Arabidopsis thaliana: one gene and its partner. The protein of the gene in region 1 interacts with the protein of each later gene in a pairwise test. Each region holds a gene or a part of one and is shown on either strand. Other genes may lie near its edges.

The links.
Region 2: the proteins of RUXF (region 1) and AT2G18740 interact in a two-hybrid assay, tested with the Arabidopsis thaliana proteins (one large-scale study listed by BioGRID).

Annotation. Positions count from the first base shown.
Region 1 is NC_003075.7:14,802,307-14,806,064, forward strand, and holds RUXF (small nuclear ribonucleoprotein F), read right to left. Parts: upstream 2,053-3,758; 5' UTR 1,954-2,052; coding exon 1,948-1,953; intron 1,592-1,947; coding exon 1,480-1,591; intron 1,402-1,479; coding exon 1,364-1,401; intron 1,177-1,363; coding exon 1,112-1,176; intron 864-1,111; coding exon 794-863; 3' UTR 654-793; downstream 1-653. UniProt on the Arabidopsis thaliana protein: Probable common Sm protein, is found in U1 and U2 snRNPs and may be part of the spliceosome.
Region 2 is NC_003071.7:8,121,334-8,125,706, forward strand, and holds AT2G18740 (Small nuclear ribonucleoprotein family protein), read left to right. Parts: upstream 1-1,887; 5' UTR 1,888-2,000; coding exon 2,001-2,042; intron 2,043-2,142; coding exon 2,143-2,169; intron 2,170-2,268; coding exon 2,269-2,331; intron 2,332-3,052; coding exon 3,053-3,131; intron 3,132-3,218; coding exon 3,219-3,264; intron 3,265-3,367; coding exon 3,368-3,377; 3' UTR 3,378-3,745; downstream 3,746-4,373. Other genes in the region: DGK3 (diacylglycerol kinase 3), read left to right, coding at 3-119, 198-356.

The DNA of each region.
Region 1 (3,758 bases):
ATTCAAATTGTCATCTCCATTACCGCAAAGGTTGTCCCAATATTGCTACCACTTCATGGGCTGGATGTAAATTTAGTAGCGCTGATTGTAGTTTGCGGACTCATTAGTAAGATTTCTGAGAAGGGCCAATATAGGACTATTACAGCCCATTAGTAGTCCAACTTCTTAATCATAGACCCAATGCATAAAGCCCGATTAAGTACATGGTTAACTTATTCCCGATTAAGTACATGGTTGTCTTTATATCCTATTTTAAAACAATTTCAGCAAAAAACTTATTTTTCTGGAATACGCTAATCATTAATCAATATAGCATACATACTAATAAGTTAGACTAAATAATATTATTTATCATTTAAGCTAGGACGCATGATTGATCCGATTAATCTGAAAACTGATTGCTTGGAACGATATATTATGTTTGGTAATTGCTTGGTACATTATATTATGTTTGAAAATTATTTTTAAAAAGAGTGAAATCTCTCGAATTCTTTTATTTTGCGGGTACATACTTATGGCTTAAATTTGGTAAACAAAAGAATCTCAATGTTGCTACTTGCTACCACTTGATGGGCTATAAATTTAGGCCCAATAAAAATGGTTAAAAAAAGAATTGACTAAGAACCGGCAAGAAGAATGGTTTCTCATAAGAAAAAGGGCTTGTTAGTTTTTTAAGGTATGAATATGATCAACAAACTCTTAAGATTCAACAACATCACACTAAGATTAAAGTGCTCACAGAATACAAAAATTAAAACACACAGACTTGCAATTTCTAAGTACTCAATACAGGTTAGTCTTGATCAGCGTCTTCAAGCTCTTCATCTTCTGGCACACCACGGACATACAAAACATTGTTGCACCTATGTACACAAAAGTCAGCAAATTAATTCAATGGATCCGAAAATTTCGAAGCAATTACAAACCTGATAGTTAGTCAATGAATCCACTACTATCAGAGAGAAAATGATAAATGTGTGCTAATAATGGCCGCCAAGTCTAATTCTTAAGTTTTATCAAGTAATGACACTTCACTGTGAATCATATAGTTGGAAACATAAACTGAATCACAAGGAGAAAATAAGTAGAGACAATGAAGTAATATTATTACCTGATCAAGATCTCTCCAAGGTTCCCTGTCAATTGTCCATCAATATATTCTTCGGTGTTTCCCAGCTGACAAAAACAATATGGAAAATGTCAATGCATAACAATCTATGTATCTGTACAGATTATCAGCATTGCCTCTAAACTTGTATGCACAAGGAACATTTAGCAGGTGGTTTTGGACAAAATAACATCAATCTCTCTGTTTAATCAAAAAGCTATCTTATCTAACTTTGTAATTCAGGAAATAACGCACCTGCAAGTTCATGTAGGAGTCAACAGAGGCGAGAAAACCTGTGAAGTAGAAGGAAGACTGTTAGCTATATAAGCTCTGGATACTTATCATCAAAAGCATTTTGAAGAAAAATATACCTTTGTATTCCATTCCCCATTTAAGCTTGACGATAACAGTCTTGCCGGTCAAGTTGTTCAAGAATGGTTTCGGGTTAACCGGAATAGTCTGCAAAACACACATACATACAAACTTGGTTCATCAAATACTAATGGAATGAACTCAAAAGCATCACATTTGAAGATAAACACATTGTGCATTTTCCAACGAATTCTCGAATGCAATTTTTATGTAGTGGACTATTATACTCGTTAACGACATATATATAACAATTTCGAATCAGATTCAGATTCGCAGATACTCCAATCTTTTACTTGTAATCAGATAAATCGACGAGATTGGAGCTGAAAGAAGAGCTCAGGCCATCGAATTTCGCAATCCCTAAAACTACTTAACAGATAAAATTCTAATTTTGAGCTCAATAAAGAAAGGAATTAACTAATCTAAGCTCGAACTTAGAATCAGAAGACGAAAAAATCGAAACTTACCGCCATGAGTTTGAGAACGAAGAGACGAAACGAAGATCTGGGAGAACAAATATCGATACGCTTGTGGTTTCTCTCGATTTAGGGTTTTTGGCTGGGTTTATTCGTTGCTGTACAGAAGATAATGGGCCTGCGAAAATATCTCATAAGGCCCATTATTGGTTCAACTGGCTTGCTTTGTGAAATCTCCATAAAAGTGAAAACAAATAATACATGACAAAAACGACATGCATTCCAACCTAATGACATAAAACCGGCAAGAAGAATGGTTTCTCGAGAACAAAAGTCCATTATATTGCATTCATCTTTACACAATGATCAAATTTTGTCAGCTTGCCTTTAAAACAATTAGCCGGCTTTCTACTCTTTGACCATCCAATTATTAGTTTAGATTATATATAATTCCATTAGAATTCTATAATTATTACATCAAAACTAAAACGATTGGCATCACATATATGACCAAAGAATTAGGTGAACGTGAACCACTCATCTGTTGAGGTCATCCATCATCTAGTGCAAAGTATTTTTCATTTTTGAGGTCTTTTCATTTTTATTTTTTTTACAAGTCATTATATGTTTACTTTTTTTTTCACGTCATTATATGTTTACTATGATAAAGAAAACGCTTATAAAATCAGCATGCTAATAGAAAAGGTTATCTACATCATGATTTTTATTTTTTGAACAAAAAAACATTTGAAGTGAACTGCTATAGATGTGAATCATCTTACTTTTTTGCGTTTAAAGGCAAAATAGTAACATCGCACCATATGAAATTGTTATAAAAAGGGAAAACAAATCAAACTTTGTAGTCAAGCAATGTATATGAATAACCTACTTATGACTTGTGCCTTGCAGCGTAAGTTGATGTACGTTGAAAACGAAAAAACAAAGTGGATAGTTTGTAATTGTGGCTCTAATTCCTTTAGTTTTTTTTTCTCTAACAATTGAGTTTCTTTAATCACTACACTTCCACTTCCTCGATTTAATATACCTAAACTATAATTGGATAGTTGAAAATATCAAAAACTATAGTCTAGAATATAATTATAATCATCGTTTTAATGTTTGTAATAACCGAAAGGTCCGAAACGAAATGTTAGCAGCCAGGCGAAAGTCATTTTCTCAGCTGACCTCAGTTACGCGCAACAATTCATACCTCAGCACTTATTTTTTATACTTTTGTCACAATGTCTTAGTCTTCTTCTGAATTAGTCTCGACTATCTTTTTTCACAATCAATATGCTTCATACAGTTTGTTTGTGTGTAAACTTGCTCCTTCGAAAATATACCTAAAGAAAATTGTCTAAACATTTTTAGATTGTGTTTCGCTAATTCTTATATATATTTATATAGAAGTGGTGACATGTCGAATCTATATTTTATACAATACCATCAGTTAGCTTTTTGCACAGTCTTTTTATTTTACCGGTTGGGTGTACAAATCTATGCAAATTTGTGTGATCGTGGTACATTTATGTACATATGTATAAACATATAGTCTTTGACAAAGAATTTAAAAAATATAGGCATTTCAATCAAAGTTTTACATCATGAAGAAATGTAAATCTCAAATTTTCAAACATTATTAATTTGTGTTTGAATAATTCTATCTCTATCATTCTTGACCATGCTTTTGAATAACTAAATTTTCTAAGCTGAAAAATCGGAAAGATTCATGAATAAATGATCAATGCTATATATGAAGACTAGAGTTACTTGTCTTATCTTTCTTGTCGTTAAAACTATATATGAAAACTAGAGTTAGTTAATATTAATAGACACTTTGTGTGGTTAAATAATAAATAATA
Region 2 (4,373 bases), on another chromosome or scaffold:
AGAGAGGCTTTGTGGAAGCACATTGTGATGATGGTTTGATAGAGATTTTCGGTTTTAAGCAAGGATGGCACGCGTCATTTGTCATGGCTGAGCTCATCTCTGCCAAGCACATAGCTCAGGTAACTTCAAAAGACACTGGTCAATGTATAATCTTTTTAGCCATGTGTTTGACTGTTTCATTTTGGTGATCATTTCAGGCTGCTGCGGTAAGATTTGAGCTAAGAGGAGGTGACTGGAGAGACGCATTCTTGCAAATGGATGGTGAGCCATGGAAGCAACCAATGAGCACTGAGTACTCAACATTTGTGGAGATCAAGAAGGTTCCTTATCAATCTCTGATGATAAATAATGAATGATTGAGATTCAAAGCTGGATTCTTTGTACAAAGCTAATTGTTTTGTATTTGGATTTGATTCAGTTAGTCATAGATATAGCCTAAGCTTTTTAGTCTTCTTTTCTTTTAAATCTGAGATTGTGACCATTTTTCTCTTTTTAATTTCTGCTTATTGTTGGTTTTGTACATTTTTGTGTTGTGAGGAATGAAGTTTGTTTATTTATAAGAATGTGGGAAGATAATATTTGGTCAAATTTCAATCTCTCTTCAATCTTTGTAATTCTAGCATTGAGCACATAGATGTGATTCTTTGTCATATTTTTATTTATTTTAACACTAGTTCGACTGAGAACCAATTTATCATCGACACCAATTTCTAAGTAAGAATATTTTTAATAATTATCATTATTAGTCGTATATTTTTACCAGAATAATAAAAAATTAAAAACCTAAGTTAATAAACCACACAAAAAAGTTTTTCTCTCTTCGCTCTCTCGTAGTTTGTAAAGATAGAAACTGAAATTTCTTTTGTTTTTGTTAACCGGATAGTTTTCCGGTGAGTCGCCGTCCCGTTTAATTCGGGCTTTCGTCCGACATCTTCTAGCTACGTTAGTGGAGATGGTTGGCTTTTTGTATGGCATCGTTGGCTAACTTAGCGACGTTGGCCAGCTTCCGTACGGCAGCGTTGGGCTTACACTAACAGCGTTGGTCATCTTTGTTTTTGTTTTGTTACTTCAAAGGTTTGATGATGAAGCTTTATGGCATGCAGAATCGTCAGATCTGAAGAGGGTTTCTCTTTACAAGATCTATTCTCCTTCTGTTTTGTTTAGCTTCACTATTGGGTTATGCTTTTGGCTCTGGTAGTTTTTCGGCGATGTGTGCGTTTCCAGCAATTACCCTCGTTTGGATCTACCATATTTAAGACAGTTTCAATTTTATTTTCGCCTAAGATTGGGTTAAAGCTTCTATCCTATGCAAATTTGATATGCCTTTAGTGCTTTTGCAAGAGAGTTCGAAGATTCAATGGTTGGACAAGTTTGAACTACTCAATTTTTTTAATTTCTTTACCCGTTTTGATGAATTATTTGTGATTCTAGCAACCATATGAGATTAGGAAATTGATGTTTGTTCTATAACATCTAATTGCCATAATCGGTGATAGAAAAAAAGAGTTTCATTGCTCGGTGCTTTCCCGGCGATGGTTCTCCGATTCACCAGACTTGAGTCTCATCCGGTGGAGGTTGTGGAAGATTCACGTGTCCTTAGCTTATTATTATTGGTCTGACACGTCTTAAGCTTATCTCTTTTTTGTGACGTAAAAGTCTGTTGTGGACCTCATATGTAGACTGTCTTGAGCCTTTTATGTTGTAACACTGAGCCTCAGTATATTAAAAATAAATCTTTCTCTGAAAAAAAAAAAAAAAAAGTTAAAAACCTACGCTAAAAAATTCTAGGTCTTGGAAAAGAGTATTTGGGCCAAATGATCACATTAATTAGTTATGGGCTGAAATAACATTCTGAAGTTTTATGAGGACCGAGAGAACTAAGTTTAAGAAAAATGTTGAAAAAAGCGTATTAGCAGAGGGACAAACGCTTTTTAGGGTTTTAGATTTCCTCTGAGAGAGAATTTTCGAAAGCTTGAGAGAGATTTCCAACTACGTTAGCCATGGCGAGCACCAAAGTTCAAAGGATTATGACCCAACCTATCGTACGTTTCTTCTTCGATTCCTTTGTTCCATCTCTTTATTGTTTCTATCGAAACCTAATTTTGTATCTTGCTTTTTGTTTTCCGGTGGCGGCGGCTCCAGAACTTGATTTTTAGGTTTCTTCAAAGTGTAAGTTGTTCAATTTCTTCTGATTTGCTCTCTGAGGTTTTAGGTTATTAGTAGTTCGTCTACTGATTTGTTCCCTGGTCTTTTGTGTTTGTGATGCAGAAAGCTAGGATCCAGATTTGGCTATTTGAGCAGAAAGATTTGAGGATTGAAGGAAGAATCACTGTAAGTTGATGTTGAAGCTCCGTTATCATGAATTGATTAGATTCCTGGCTTTGTTTATAGGACATTCGAGGGTTATGCTAACTTTAGGAGAGTTTGAAATGCATTAGCAGTGTGACTATCTCTCTAATTTAGTCTGTGTTTGAACTGTTGCATTTGTTGTGAATTGAAAAGGGATAGTTGTCACTGTTACTACTACTGCACAAAGAACTGATAAGAGCCTGCCAATAGAAACTAGTTTGATTAGCTAGCTGTTCTTAGGTTGAGTATGATTGTGTCATTCTCTTCGGCTTAAAACTTATTGTCTCCTACAGCCTACTTGGCTTTGGGTGTTACTTGTTTCAGTTTGTTGCTATGCTTGTAGTTGTATGTCCTCTATGATTTTCGAGTTATGATTCAAGCATTCAAGCTTTTCTTAGTTTGATTCTATGATAATTTGGAGAAACTTGAGATTTTGTGATGGTGTCATTCTCATTGGCTTAAAGGTTTGAGTTGTCTACTTGACTTTTGTTGTTCCATGTTGCAGTCTACTTGACTTTTGTTGTTCCTCGAGTTAAGATCCTAGCTTTTCTGAGGTTGATTATATGTATGGAGGAACATGATATTTGTGATAGTGTCACTCTACTCGGTTTTAAACTTAGATTTTTGTCTACTTGAATTTGGGTGTATTATTGATTCTTCTAGGAGAATCCATCAAACCTTGCTTATCCGTCGTCCTTTGCAGGGTTTTGACGAATACATGAATCTAGTTTTGGATGAGGCTGAAGAAGTGAGCATCAAGAAGAACACCAGGAAACCACTTGGTGAGTTATCCTGAACTCACTCTTTGATAACAAGTCTCAGATCTGTCTGCTTATGGTTTGATAACTCGTGTTAATACCTATTTTCAGGAAGGATTTTACTCAAAGGAGACAACATAACTCTGATGATGAACACGTAAGTAACACAATCTCTACTCTGTCTTCTCTCTTTATGATGTATAGCAGCTTGATTTGTCACATAACAAAAGATTGAAACAAAATCCTTTCTATGTTAACAGGGGAAAGTGATGTCTGTCTCAAACAACTCTCTTCGATGACCTTCAAGCTTATGTTAAATATCTGTTGAGTTCTTCCTCAGCTTAATTGGTACTTGACGATACCTTCTTTTCTTCAATGTCGTATAATATATTGCAATGTAGTGAGTGACAAAGGAGCTTGATCGAATCTAGTGGATTGGTTGGTTAAAACTTCAAAAAAGAGATTTGGTCCCTTTTGGTTAAATCTAGTGTTATGTAATTTGGCTGATCTTTGTTGCAACTTTTTAACCTCTGTTTAAATTTCAAACCTTAAAAAAGTAAAACCAATTGATTTTGATTATAAAAAAAATTGTATCATTTTTGTTTGTTTGGTGAACTGACCGAGTTGGCCATTCTCAGGGCTCAAGTAGATTGAAAGTTTAATTATACTAATAGACCAATCAGAATATAATCTGTTAAAGTTAACATAAAAATACAGAAATCTATGTGAACATTAACTTTTCATTGCAATTAGATGTTTTTATATCCATGTTGATTGTTGAATCTTATCCCTAATCTTGCTATTGGTGAAATGAATGTATTTTTACTATTAAAGTCTTTTTTTAATAACAAATAATTGGACTTTATACAACAAAGTATTATTATTTAATTATCAACTTTAGAATATAGCATGTGCCAAAAATACATACACTAGCCGCCGGCCCAAGAATGTCGTCCAATAAACGAAAAGCAAAAGTGACGGCAATCCAAGCCTACTGTGATCTTGTCCGCACCCGATAACTATCTTTAATTACTAAAACTAGTCAAAGTACTCGACTAATCACAAAACTAGACAAGTGTTTCAAGTAAATTAATTTTTGATCTTTTCATTTTATCTCTCTCTCTTTTTCTTCTATCCAAAACACCATTTTTGAGGTATTTTTCTCTCTCCTTCGAATCGAATTTTCAGGTTTCTCTTTCCGTTTGTTTGAAGAAGCTTTTAAGTAGAATTCATAAAATCTTGCTTAGCTTCTGGGTTTGATTTGTT